Linked DNA regions of Coturnix japonica. The protein of the gene in region 2 interacts with the protein of the main gene of each other region in a pairwise test. Links are inferred from orthologs where the notes say so. Each region holds a gene or a part of one and is shown on either strand. Other genes may lie near its edges.

What was found.
Region 1: the proteins of POGZ (region 2) and NFYA interact in binary tests that used the Homo sapiens proteins (3 or more experiments, as listed by UniProt). The two-hybrid records come from large-scale screens. The link is inferred for Coturnix japonica from reciprocal best matches to the Homo sapiens genes POGZ and NFYA.

Annotation. Positions count from the first base shown.
Region 1 is NC_029541.1:4,506,601-4,514,135, reverse strand, and holds the end of NFYA (nuclear transcription factor Y subunit alpha), read right to left. Parts: intron 7,192-7,535; coding exon 7,060-7,191; intron 6,451-7,059; coding exon 6,345-6,450; intron 5,859-6,344; coding exon 5,692-5,858; intron 5,038-5,691; coding exon 4,864-5,037; intron 4,507-4,863; coding exon 4,405-4,506; intron 4,230-4,404; coding exon 4,176-4,229; 3' UTR 2,067-4,175; downstream 1-2,066. UniProt on the Homo sapiens protein: Component of the sequence-specific heterotrimeric transcription factor (NF-Y) which specifically recognizes a 5'-CCAAT-3' box motif found in the promoters of its target genes.
Region 2 is NC_029540.1:2,351,958-2,359,492, reverse strand, and holds part of POGZ (pogo transposable element with ZNF domain), read right to left. Parts: intron 3,505-7,535; 5' UTR 3,504-3,504; coding exon 3,380-3,503; intron 1-3,379. UniProt on the Homo sapiens protein: Plays a role in mitotic cell cycle progression and is involved in kinetochore assembly and mitotic sister chromatid cohesion.

The DNA of each region.
Region 1 (7,535 bases), on a different chromosome or scaffold from region 2:
GCAGGTCCAGCACTGGGCTGTGAGATATGGGAGCACAGCACTTCCCTTTGGACTCCCAACTCATTTATGTATGTGCATGTGAAATGTTAATTACTGCCCATTGATTAGGACCAGAACAGCAAAGTGGTGAGGAACATACTGAATTATAGCACAGCAGTTGTTCCATGCAATGCTCCCAATGTGTTTCACTAAACCAGGGCTTCGCTGCATAGTATTTGCCCATGTAAGATGTCTTCATTCAGACCGTATGTATAACTTTGGGTTTCCTTGACTTCTCTGTTTGTTTATTAATATCTCACCCATGCTGCAGTGTAACTCTGCCTTGGCTCTGCTGTAAATTACACTCATTCCAATCAAACTACTGAACCCTGTTATCACAGTGATAAGCACAAACACCCCCAGGAATTATGGATAACTCCCAAAATAAAGCAAAGATTCTCAACCCTCTGAGTTGGGTCTTCTTCTTATTTAACCGGTCTGAATTAATACAAAGAATAGCAAAGTGTTACTGCATGAGGAACAGGGAAAACTCCCCACTTATCCACCGTGTCCACTTTACACGAGCAGCACAAAATTCCACCCGTTCTGTTCACTTCAGAATATCTGCTCAATTGTCCTCAACTTCCTGCCTTACTTCTCTCCTGTCCCCAGCAACTCAGAATATTGATTACCAGAACAGAAAGCGAAGCAATAAGGGACAGGATCCTGGCAACCGTGACTGGCCCAAGATTAGCAGATACAGGAACTTCTCTCCAAAGCGAGGGGTTGCTTTAAATTAGTCTGGTCCTGCTCCTGTTAGGGAACTGAAAAGAATTTCAAATTAAGAATAAAGCAAGAAGCCGTGAAAATCGATATCCGAGTGGCTTTGTAATCAGATAACCCATTATGTGCTGCGGGCATTCCCTCCAGGCCTATGATGCTGCTTATTCCCCTGGGCCGCTGCCCTTCATGCTCTTCTGCATTTGTGAATCCTCAGCTGCGATGTCCTTGAGGATTCATTCTGCTCTGTTTGCCCACAATCACACTTGTTATCATGACCACAGAACTGCCAGCAACACCCCAAAGGAGCAGACCAGCATCTATAGGGACACACATTGGAGGGCAGAACCAAGCCCCAAGAACTGCAGCAGTGATTCCAGTTCTTCCATGAACACCCTGTATGAGGAACAAAGGAACAGGCTTAGCACAGTATTTTGCTTTATATACAAATATATACATGGCAGCTATTAACCCAAAGAGCTTTGCAAACAATGAACGCATACAAGAACTGCTTCAGCAATGCAGCATCGTACAACTACTCAACACTGTACAGAAGAACTAACAGTGCAGGACCCCAGCCCTGATAAAGGTATTTCTGTTATCATTGCTGGAGTTACAGCACTGCTGAGAGATCCTGAGCAGCGTGTGTGGAAGGAGCAGCACGACTGAGAGGGATTAGCAGGCAGACATGGAAGCTGAGCATTTCTTAAACCTCTCAAAGCCTGCCCAATCCTCTTAAGAGGAAAACTTCCTTTTGTACCAAAATGCAAAAAAAATAAGCTCTAACAGTCTCCATTCTGTCATATTTGAGCAAATAGAGATAATGGCACCATACGAGGGAGGTTGGGGACAAGAATAAACCACCCTTCTGGAAGATAACCAGCAATACAAAGGAGTAAATGCTTTGGGAAGCACAGTAACGTGAAGGTAGTGTCCTGTTATGCTCACAGGACCATGAGCAGGTTCCAGCCCTGCACCATGGAGCTCCCTGTGCCCCAGGGCTGTTTCTACATCATTTGGCCCTTCTGGAAGCCTCCTCAGGGATAATGAATGACTCCATGCACACCGGAGCTGCCCTCAGGCAGGAGGTGCATTGTGCCAACAGGTGTCCAGGAAGGTTAAAGACACAGCAGATTTCTGCACAAATCATTACTGCCTTAAACCAAAACCTACCATGCTAATTTCTTTGCACACTCAAAGGACACACAGAATAACACTGACCCAGTGAGCGCAGCCTTCCTTCCTCCTGCAGCTCAGAGGCCATTGAGTCGGAGGAGCATTAAAAGCAGAGCCAACGCCGCTGCTTGGTTTATAAACTTTTATTAGCTGGATAGTGTACACAGTACTTACAATTGCATCTATTAAAGACCAAAATACACTTGAAAAAATGCATTATATAAAAAAAATTATAAACTTTTTAAACTATATACAAACTTTGCCTTACATGATGCAAGTACCTCCCCACCCCCCATCCCCTTACACACACACACATCCAGTCACAAAGATTCTTTCCCTCTCTCCTGTTTGTAACATGCAAAGCCTCGAAGTGCTCCAGCATCACTCAAGGACCGTCCTCACAACTGACCCGCTGCAGGTAAGGAACCCAACAGCTGCACTCCGGCCTCCACGTCCTTATCTGAAGTATTAACAGTAAAGCTTCCTAAGTAACACGAATCCATAGGCCTTAGTACACGTTCTACAACAACAGATCAGAGAACCTATATATGAAGGGCTCATTGGGGGAGAAAAAAAAAAAGAGTTCTAGTTGTGTTGGAGAAGTTTACGACTTCTTTAAGGAAACCAAGAATTACTAATTTAAGAGAAATAAACAAAAACTCATGTCAGAGCAACAATCTCTGCTTCCATAACTTCCAACTGCCTGAGGGGTGCTCTGGGACACAGATTAGCTGTCAGCTGAAGAGCAGAAACGTTATGGAGGCCGTCTCAGTTCAGCACAGAAATGTTCCTCCAGCACATGAAAATCCTATTGACAAAATGTACAGAGGCTAAAAAAGTATTTACAAATAGTGCGGCAAATTCAACTAAGGAAAAGACTTTGTTGTTCCTTCACTAAATGAGAGCGATGGGTTTCCTGAAATGGGTGACCTCACGAGATTCCAGGTGAGGACTTTACAGTTACTGACTGAAAAAGAAAGAAGCACCGCGCTCTGACTGGCCACGAATTTAAGGCAGAAGCAACCAAAGGCACCAAAATGCCATTAATGCCTTTAGAATAGCTAGAAAAAAACCTCGTGTAAAACTGGTGAGCAGAATGCTGGATTATTAACACAACATTTGCAAATGCGTCGCGTTGTTCAGGTATATAATCCTTCCAAAACATCAGTATGCACCAGGTTGAGCGGCCCTGTGCTTCCACCATCATTCAACAGCTCCTCTCTCTATGCAGAATGAGAACTGTAGAACTGATTTACAACACACATCAAGAAATACTACCAAAAAGGTGGCCAAGTGTTTTCACTCTGATACTGCAGATTGTATTTCTGTTGGAGAACCATGCATCAGACCGGTCAGGTTAAAATAAAGACCTTAAAAATAATCCTTTGGAAGAGACTCAATTGGAAGTTCCAATACTTTAATATTGGCATCCACTCTTCTTCCAAAGCATGACCTGCTGGCAATAAACATACCAAAAAACACCAATAAATCCTATTTACTAACTAAACCCTTCTATCAATAACCCTCTCCACTCTTACTTCCCGGAACAGACACACAACAAATCAAGTCCTATAATAATCTTGAACTGCTCTGATCACTTTGACTGGATGGCTGAACTCTTCCCAGAGAAAAGCTTGCTGTTTAATACATATTTTACAGAGTGGAGCTTAAGAGAAACCCCTTCAGTTTCTGTCAGTTTTGCAAGTGCAGATGCAACAGTAGAGAACAGTTCAGTAGACGGTAAATCCAAAGATGTAAGTAGTGGATGTAAGTAACAATCCTCTCCTGGGAAAACAAAGTACCGTGGTATAGCCACATCAGTGCTGGTTGCTATGAACTGGGTTATGTCGCTGTGCAGAAGGGTCATAACTCCATGAAGTCTTTGCTGGCCCTCCTTCAGCACACCAGTTATTGCTGGTCAGTCAGCAGTACACTCACCATGGCCAATCTTAATGCAAGAGATGTTATAAAGGAAAAAAAAATAAAGGCATGAGCTGTCAGACTGAAATCCCTGCGCTGAATTAGAAGAGTATACCAAGAAAGTCATTAAGTTTCTATGAGTCGAGTCAACTGCAGTTAAAATCTTTACCACACACTGAAAAAGTGGTGTTTGTTCTGTAGAAAAGGATAGGCTGCGATGTGGTGATTGTCCCATTGAAAGACTTGCTTGATACACTGGTAAGGTAGGACAGACTTGCAGAAGGGACAGGAATTCAGTTACATTTTTATGTCAGCAGTGATTAGGAGACTCTGATCATCTGTGTCATCGCTTCTTCATTGGCCTGAGATGGATCCTACAGATAAAAAATAAATGTCATGTTGTAATTCCCAACATTTTCCATAACATCAGAGAGTCACATACAACAGCCTAACTCAGAAGAACAGAGAACAGTAGAAATGCTCCTCTAAAATGTAACCTGAAGGACTCAAAGCGTGAGCTGCCCAAAGAACAGGCAAAATTCTCCTTACCTGCATATGGGGACTGTCTTTTTCCTTTGGTGAGAAGAAACGTCCACCCTCTCCTCGCTTCCTGGCCATGGCGTGACGATGCCGAGATTCATGCAAGTATTTCTGTCACAACATGGAGGAGAAGAGCAATGAGAGCAGCACATTCCTCCTCAGTTCAGTACTCACAGTAATTGAGAACACAGCAGAAAAACCCAATGCAGATTCTGTTTTTCTCCCCCACCCCTGAAATAAAATGCTTACAGTAAAGGCCTATTTGCAATACAGTGACATTAGATGAGCTATTAAACGTATGGAAAGAAAGCACTTACTGCCACCAAGGGACTCAGCGATTACTCAAACATAGTTTATGAACAAGAAAAACAAATGGAAAAAATACTAAGATTCCAGGCCTCATTTTTCTGGCTTTTCTGTGCCTTCCTCATACAACAGCCCTGCATTAGCTCTGTGTTATATTCTCACCCTTCTTTCTTTGGGAATCTTCCCCTCTGCTTCAAGCTTTGCTCGTGCCTGCCTCCTCTTCAGGATTCGATGATACTGCTTGGCGTTTACATAGAGGGGCTCTTCTTCAAGCATCTCTGCTCCAGGCAAAGGTATCCGCTGGATGGCTGGTACTGATCCAGCTCCAGGTACCATCTGCACAGAGAAGAATGGTTTCAGAACTTTCAGCTTAGAATGAAAAGGGGATGCAGGGATATACTTTGAGAAGTGTTTACGATGGAATGGGCTTGTTTTTTCTCCGGTTAACACAGCAGTTTAAACTGAAATGAGGAATAAAGTCAGTCTCAAACTGCAGGACAAACTTAAATAACCCAATGACGCACCATTTGTACTTCCTTCTCCTCCTGATAACGGTAAAATTTCAACACAATACACAATTCTATGACTACTTTACTGCCTCTTGTCTAATTTGCATGCAGGACACACTCATCACTTCCCCTTCTTTTAGGCTATGAATTATTTAATTTATATGATAATTTCAGAGCATTTCTTAAGCAGTTATTTCTCATAGAGCTGCTGACATCTAGCGGGGATGAACAATAAAGTTCAAGTTGAAAGGCATCAAAGTGCAGAGATGGAAGAATGGGTGGAAAAAATCCTAAAAATCAGAAAAACAACTACTAAGGAATCCTCAAGAAATGCAACAGTCGATTCCATCTTTCCAAATGTCTGCTTTATCAGCTAACAGCTCATTTTGAAACATCCAGTTGGCAAGGATCTCAGACAACACCTTACACACTGACACCATATAGCTGTACCTTCAAGTTGAATGGAGAGTTAAATACATACCATAACCATTCCACCTGAATTGACAACATTCCCAGCAACTGGCAGTGTCACTGTGACAGTCCCTTGTCCGCTGCTGGTGGTGTTGGTGTTGGCTCCTGCTTGGACAATCTGTGCTCCAGCCAAACTGGCTGCTGGAATGGTGATCATGCCTGTAACAGGGACTGTAACTTTAAGAAAATAAAACACAAAAGGAAAGAAAACAAAACAAACGAAAACACGCACACAGAAAGAAGGGAACACCATTAGTCCCGCTTCTGTTTTCCACTCATTCACCCTTCTGTAAGATCTAGAAATGCATTACAAGGCATCAACCAAACCGTACTTGGTATTTTTTGTATCTGCACTGTAATCCCAGCCTCAGGTAAGACAGCAGGTATTTGGAATCGCAGAAGCGAATGAGCATCCCCATTCTAACAGCTCTTGCCAAAAAAACAAAGGATTGTTCAGTTTTCTGTGGAAAGATCTACCTGCCGAACTCCTGTCCAACAATACAAACCTCTCTTCTTCCATTCGCTGTGCCAGCACATCACAACAGTCACAGCACTGCCAACCACCACTGCAACTCACTGTGTGCACTGACAGCCTCTATGAGGCAATGAAAACCTACCAAGTGGACTTTGTGAGGTCGTGACTTTTTGCACCAGAGCTCATACCTTGTTGGAGAATGGTTCCGTCAGCGTTAACGGGCTGATAGACTATGGTCTGCCCTTCAGCCGTTTGCGCTACTTGTTGTCCTTGAACTGCTATTTGTTGCTGAGTCTAAACAAAACAGAACACAGGAACTTCAAACATTGCTTCCTTCTCAAATCCCACAGTTCCTCAATTAATACACAGTGCTTATGGCGCTTCAGGCACGTTATTTCTTTTGCTTTATTACTAGCATAAAGAAATAGAATGGAGTACAAACCAACTGAGCTGAAGGTAAAGTACCTGAAGCACATACTATAAACTTTTCCTAATACTGTTGTATTTAACATTCAGAGAAATAAGTTCCCTGTTTCCTGTCCCATTATCAGAACATTAAATTCTGGTCCTAACCAAAAGAAACAGCAGAAAACCCAGGTGTGACTGGACTACTGCACAAAATGGCGCAAGTATGACATTAGCAATACTTATGTTTGGAAATTGCAACAAAGAGACAAAAACAGCCATGAACCAATATACAGAAACACGATGGATAAGAACATGCAGTCTATTCATTCTGTCCCAGGGTTACGTATGAAACACTACAAAGATATTAATTTTATTCTCAAGTTCTCCTCCACATTAATATTTTTTTTCCCTTTTTACTTAACCACATTGAAAGTCATTTGCCAAGTTTCTCTTCCTGTTCCTCTCAAGAAAACCCTTCCATGCTGGTGCAGTTACCTGTGTCTGGCCAGCAGTAACTGCAGTCTGTGGCTGCTGTATAATGATCTGCTGGGTCTGGCCCTGCTGCCCCTGTACCTGTACAGCCTGCCCACCTTGAATCTGAATCTGACCTGGCTGGACCAACTGAATCTGTGGAAGAAAGAGTCAGAAAGGAACATTAACTATGCCTCTTATTTCTCCCTCCTTGGCCTCAGCATTACCAGATCATCTGAGGATGATTTATAGCTGCAAAGAAAACAACAACAAAAAAGCACTGATACTTCTCTTTTTTTCTATTTTAAAATGAAGAGTTTTAAGTTGCTCTTCCCTGTGACACTGCAGTCACTGATAGAACAGCAGAACATACAGAATAGAGGAAACTCAACACGTAACATGCCAGTGCCATCACGTTCCAGCAGCTCTCAGCTGCTCACACAGTGAAACAGTCAGAAGAAATAAATTCACACAAAACTAGAATTACTGCTCAGGTCAAA
Region 2 (7,535 bases):
CCATGGTTCTTGGACACCTCTAGGGGTGGTGACTCCACCACCTCCCTGTTCCATTGCATCACCACTTTTGGAGAGAAGAAATATTTCCTTATATCCAACCTGAACCATTGTTAAGCAGTACAACAAACTGTGGGAGAAATTTGGGTGCATGTTTATCACCGTATGGTTGGTCAGTTTGGGAGTTAGATATTTACCAAGGAGGATGCTGTTGTTTAAGGAAACAATAAACGTTAGGGCTCCAGGCTGGATCACACTGATTTACATCCTAGAGGGGAAAAACAAAACAAAGCCCAACAAAACCTTGCACAGAGAGAATGGGTAGATTTAATGAGCCTTTTTCAGCCCTTGCTTGTAAGTCTTCTTAATTAAAGTAAAACAAAATGCAAGATGACATCCATGAGCATAAAAAGATTGCCCAAAGCTGGGACAGCTCAGACCCAGCGCACGGTGTGAACACTCTGCAGTCACAAATGAGATAAGGATGTGACCCCGGTTACTGGGCCAACATGGGCTGCAGACGGGACAGATGTCCCCATGGCACTTTGCCACCCCTAATTCTGACTAGTAGAAAGCCAACAAGGATTCCCTGCAGGACAGGAGATGGCAGCAGCTCAGTGAACACAGAGCTCCAGAAAGAAAAAACCACGTTGCAGACTGAAGAGTCGTGCTTGTGCTGCTCCAAGATCATTAAGTCCAACCATCAACTCACCCCCACCACACTCACAGCATCACTAATGATGGAAAAGAACTCTAGAATCAGACCAACCATCGACTCATCCCCATCAAGTCCACCCAATCATAGTATCATTAAGGCTGGAAAACACCTCCAAGATCACCGAGTCCAGCCATCAGCCCATCACCACACACAGGATTTGCTGCATGGATGCCATCAAAGGGAATGCAAAAAATTGCACCACAAAGCTGAAATGCTCCACAGAGATTCAAAACTAAGTGTGTTTCCCAGCTTTACCTTGCAGAATCTCAGCGTCTTATCACCAAACCAAGGGCAAAGCGCTGTGCGTTCCTGTGTGTTTTCACAGGGCCTATCAGCAGCACGTTCCTTCTGCCCAGTGTGCAGCAGATAACAACAACACAGATCTGACCCACAACACCAACCTCCCTTGAGACTAACGGCTCCATGATGCAGAACCAGAGCTGACCTACCTCTGCAGCACTGAGCTCAGTGCATCTGGAAAGCAACGCTGCCTCGGGGCTGCAAAGCTCACTGCCCTCCCTCCTTTCTTCTCAAGCAGACCAACACACACCTCTGAGGTTTTCAGGCATTTCCAGTTGCACCCCTGCCCATGTCTTTAATTAACGGATTAAAGACCACAGGTATTATTTCTACAACTGTTACTGACTGCAACCCAGAGCACCATTATCAGTAACATGAACACAAACAGCCTGTGATTCCACCCCTCCAGTGCAGAGAGGAGAGATAAATTACAGCGTAGTAGGGTTAGAAAGGACTTTAAAGATCACACAACCACAGGGGCAGCATCAGTCAGTGCGCAGCAAGGGATGGAGGAAGGAAATGGAACCACCACCACTTGGGTCCTTCTTACAAATTCCACATGTTTTATAGGATCCAGGAATCATTTGGATAGCAGATCCCATGGATAGCTGATTCCATTGATAAGATCCTTGAACTTGTTAAGAGTTATTTCACTGATAAACAACTAATCTACTAAAGATGTATCTTAGTAACCATGCACATTTTCCTTCTTATTTTTTAAGCAATAATCTAACTGGCGCGCAAATATCGCCAAGTCTTTATTAACTGTAATTGATTTAAACACCTGTCTCCCTTTACTTCCATTAGTAAAGCTGTGAAATATTAATCACCAGCGCATTACGTGGTGACACCTCATGCATCTGCAGTGCCAGACACTTTGAAGACATTTCCAAGAGGGGTTCTGTGCACTATTTGAAACCAATGCGTTCCTCATTACTTGTGTCTGATCAAATCTTACTAAAAAATGATGTGGTGACTTTTAAGTGAGTCTGACAAGCAGATTTACACAGTTCCTTCATCCAAAAGGAACTTAAAGACACTTTCGATCTCAGCACTAAGTTATGCACTGAGATTGCTTAAGCTCTCTCTGAACTGAAGACACAAACATCCTCCTGCCCTACCAGCTCCAAACACCCTTTGTCAAAGCAAGCTCCTCACAGACCTTTCCTTGTATGAAGACCAGAAGAAGGAGGTGACAGCAGTCAGCAAACCCTCCCTAAGCTCACCTCCATTTATTAACTCCAATTAGCAGCCAGCTCTCCAATGCCCCAGGTGCCAAATATTTCCACAAACACAATAAGTCAGCAGCCAAACTACCAGGAATGCTTCCATGGATGTAGATCATTGTAGGACCACAAGACACAGGCCTACAACAAGACAGTCCCATCTCTCTCCTAGATATTAAGCTGATGCTTGACCTCAACTAAAAGAGCAAGAAAAAGCAATTCAAAGGGTTAATCAAAAGCCCAACTTGTTGCATGGGCCAGTCAACTTCAGCCATGCATATCACTAAGGTAAATATTCTTTTCACCATGCACGAGACTGAAGTGTTTGGGAAGAACCAAAGGGACAGTAGGCAATGTCTTCTCTAATAACATTCATGCTTCTTTAATTCCTGAATTGTTAATTGCTGAGTTTTAATTGGTACAAAACAGGTGCAATAGCCCAACTCACGGTGTTGGCACCAACAGCAGCATGACAGCACCGCTCTCACACCGTTACTCAGAGCTTCTTTACGAACAGAGTTATTACCTCCTGGAAAACAAAGCCTCCAACCCACCAATTACTGCTCTGTGCGTCTGACACAGCCAGCGGATAACGACGTTGGCTGACCTGCACATTAAACATCAACTCTGAACATCAAAGCCACACATCTTCCCATTTACAGAAAACAGGCAGAAGAAAAAGAATGCAACTGATTACCTCAAATAACGGGTTAAAGAAAAAATAATGATCAAGCTTCAATCTCACTGTTGTGACTATGTAAGTTAAGACAGAGGAAACACAATTAACTGCAGAACACTTGTCAACCTCACCCACTTCAGAACTGCTTAGGAGGATCTGAAGCAGTCACTGCTGGGTGCTGGTACCTCCTGAAGCACTCTGTACAATGAGGAACATCACCCTGATCTTCTTTAATGCAAATGATTGATTCTGCACTACTTTGGCCACAGGACACAAAGAATTTCCCCCAAGTTTCTGCACAGAGATGGAACAGCAGCTCAAAAATGGGCATTTATTACGTTATAAACAGGATTCGTAGCTATCAAATGAGATTACTTACAGGATAGACATAACCAGTCACTGCCGTTTCCCCCTTAATACCCAGAGCTGGAATAATTCTGGACTAAAATAGTTAATTACCCGTAGTAGTTTTATCGACCGAGTTATAATCCTCAACCACAGAATCTTCAATCACGTCGCTGATCTTCTGCCATGGCTCCAGCTCCTCCTCCTCACATTCCATAAAAAGGTCCGTATCCGCCATCCTGCAAAGAGAAAGAAGAAAGCCCTTTATGGGATAACTGCATTTTGTCAGGCAGCAAAAGCTCCACTGTAAGCACAACTGTAACAACAGAATTATTACCTTCAGGAAAATCAGTCATGTTTGCATAACGAACCTTTGGTTTTAACTTAAAATTGGAGTGCTCTCGCCTCTCATCCTACATGACAAAACCAACTTACCAGCTTCAAAAGCAGAATCCCAAACTGCAGAACATTAAAACAAATGAGAAACTCAGAAACAAGAATCAAGGGGTTTATTCTCTTGATGGTTCTGAGTACTCTAAGATTACTGCCAATATACAAAAGAGACCAAATATCCAGTCTTAACTGATTAAGTCTGCTCCAACCCAACCCTGAGTGGGCACATCTTAACTCTCAGCACTACTTCTTGCCATGCTCTCCACACCTTCCCAATTCATTGTTATTTCTGAGCCCCACCAGGCACAAACAGGTTTTTTGGATCTGCCTACAGAGGCAGTCAGGTGTTTATTGCTGGGGGTGCAGCCAACCCAGACATCAGTGAAATATAGACCTGAATGCACTTGAAGTTAAGGGTTCCATTGGGCATCCCAACCATCCAGTCAGAATTACACCCACGATCCACAGTTATCAATCCTCTCCAGTGCCCTATCGACCAGCTCTCCTCAGAAGGTGGAGGCTTCCCACCAAAGGTCTCCAAAGAGCCGATGTATGTGATATTATTGAGATTCCATCAATAGGGCCATTTCTGATCCCACTGGGACAACCCACAAGCCATCATGCTGAGCAGCACAGAGCAGCTTTCTTACCGACCTCACTCCACATCACTTCAGGATTTGGTTGTTTCTCAACCTCCCTCATCAGTGGTGTTTAAGCAAAAATTGAATTCTCCTTAATAATACATTGAAGAATCCTAAACTCATTCCAGAAGGATTTTTAAAGGAACTAAGAATTATTCTAAAAAACAGCAATGACTGCATTTCCTCCTTTCCCACATAGGTGTGGTAGGTCAGCCCAGCCAAGGCTGCTGGTTTGCTCTTCACACCGGTCTGGGGCCCGGCACTGCAAAAGAAAGGTTCTTCTCTGGGCTGACCTGAGAGTTGGAGCCTTCATTTCAGTCAGTGCTACAATGCAGTCAGAGCTGCTGGTCTGTCCGGACTCCAGGAGATCCAGAAGAATCAGCCCTTTCCTGCCCCAAAATGCAGCACACATCACTTCACCTGCTGAGGGCTGAACGTTTTCTTCAGTGGGGAATTAACACATCACCACTCCATGGATTCTGCTTTGACTCCCAGCTCACTTTGCAACACCACAATTCATTACCAGTAACAACGTGATCCAGGAAACCTTCAGCCTTCTATTGGTTCAGTGGGTCTTGACAAGCTCCATTCTGCATTCATGGCCCCAGGTGGCACAAACTGTGATATTCCAACATTGCCACCATTGTTTCCAATGCACCAAAGCCAATATTCAGCTCTGTGCAGTTCCCTGGCCATAATCCTCTGATTTGGGTGGACAAGCTGATGGAGATGCTCTTCATTTCATGGTGTGTAACTCATCACCCTCCTTTCACTGCCATACATCCACTGGTTGGTCTCGACAGTGTGGATGAATGTCAGGAGGGTCATTTTTGCCTACGTGGAAGAATTCAATCCCACCCCTTTGCTTCATACGTACTCCCACATCAGACACCATTCTGCCTTTGAGAGAAAGGTCCCAGACTTGGTTCATTTACACAAAACCTCGTTAAGTCCTCCTCAAACACACAACAAGCAACTGCGAGAAGGGAGAAATCTGAGCTCCACATCTGGGATGGAAACAAGAAACAAGGGCTAAAACTGGAGGGCAAAATTCCACATTAGCCTCAAGAAAGGCTTCCAGCACAGCCCAGGGACCACGGAGCTCCAGCTCTGGATCCTTAAGAACAGATGGATGTGCAAAAAAACATGCACACAGCATCAAGTCAGAGCAATGTCTTCCCAGGAACACCGCAGGATCTGTTTTTCTATGGTAGTGTGTAATTCCTGAGTTACACCCCTGTTAGCAGATAGCTCTGCACTTCAACTAAACAGCAAGTACACTCCACTTGTTGCCATCAGGCTCTGCAGGGGGAAACAACTCAGAACTGACAGCACTCAATTCTTGTGAACACACAAAACACCCCCAACACAGCACAGAGGCCACATCACCCCCAAAAAGGCTGTACCCAAATCACTGCTGATAACACTGCGAGAGCAGAATGTTCCACATCGGGCATTCCATGTCCCTAAAATTCCCATGATCCATCAGCCAAAAAGAACAGCCAACAGATGAAAACGTTCTGGTCTCTCATCAAATCAGGTTCCTTCTATTACAAAAAAATCACAACACGATTATTGGGTAATAATCCCAATGAGCAATTAACCACGTGCACAGCACGGAGCTTACAAAGGCTCTCCTTCCCCACAGCACCTGCGTGCCCCAAAGACACCACCAGCACCTTCACTGACCCACAGCAGTTTTGCTGTTAGGAAGGCAAAAAAAAAAATAGCATTAATGGCATTTTAAGGGTAGGAAGCAGAAATTGATCCATGAAAGGGTCTATAAGAAGTGAAATGAAACTCCCCATGCTCAGCCCCCGTTCACTGCACCAAACACAGATTTCACTCTGTTGAAGACAAAAGAAAAACAACACAAAAGAGACACAAATTATTTCTGGCTGACAAACAAGATGGGAACAGACTCCAGAAATACAGCTCTGAAATGGGGGGGTTTAGGCACAAATCTGCTACAGGGGAGGCAAAAACCAAAGGATCCACATCTCCCCTCTGCCTGTTAACTTCTGTTTAATTACAACATCTTATCAAACCCTGGCAGCATCTCCTAGGAGATGGACGCACCGATCTCCAGCGCTGACCGACCCACAATACATATTTATGGTTTTCTGTATTCCTGCTCTGCAGAAACCTCCAGAATAAAAAGCATCGCGGGGATCTCCTCGGACAAAGCTGCTCCTCCTGCAAAAGGCAACGCTGACAACAGGAGCCGCTCCTCGGAGCCACTGCACGGACACAGCGATGGGCAGCTGTAAATAGGATAAATAACCCCATCTATTAATTAAAGAAAGCACAAATGTCTCCTCAGGAAGGTTAGGAAGGCTTTGCGCAGATTGGGAGAAATATATTATTCAGCAGCTCATAATTATTCAGAAGATGCAAAGACAAAATGCTAAAGAGGCTGTAGTTACATGAATCTTCTGACACCAACTTGCATTATGTGCAGATATTTCATCTGTTCTATCAGCCGAACCAAGAAAATGTCTCCTCTCTTCTATAATGCAACAGCTTTGTTTTTCAGAGCTTTGATCTCGAATATTTCTGGATGTAAGAAGCCTTTGCTCAATAAAATGATTAATCCCGATGATAAACGCTCCACGTTTAGCTCTTCAGCACACAGTTGGCAGATGTGAGGCTGAAAATACGGATGCCAAAAACAAAAAGGGAGAGAAAAAAAATGACAAAGTGTGGAGAAATCGAGCCTTGCAGAAAGGTGTTTTCTCTCCCTTTGGGGGAAGAACCTCCACATATCGGCCCTATATCAACAGCAGCGGGATGGCAGGACCCTTCATTTCCATCGGCTGTTGTTTGCACTCCTTGTTGCAACACAAGGGGGGGAAAAGCCAACAGCCATCAAACTCCTGCATTGAGGCTGATTACAGCAGCTGATCGGAGCGATTCCCATTAGCAGGGGAAATCCAGCAATGCTGAATCGTTACTCACAGGTTTCCCCACCTTAAGAAAGGGAAAAATCCTTCTATCTCTCATCGTAATAACAATAATGAAGAAAACATATCTCTCTCTCCTAACCAACAGGAATCTCAGCTGAAATTGGGAATCTGGTCTGAGATCCAATGATGTCTCACTATCAGTGAACACTCTCACATGGCTGGAAAGGCATCAGACACAGCCCTGACTGGGGACTGCTTGTGGATCCCCAGGACCAAACAACTGCAAAGAGACGACAAAGCTCACGCTCAGCTCCACTGCAGAGCATTGCT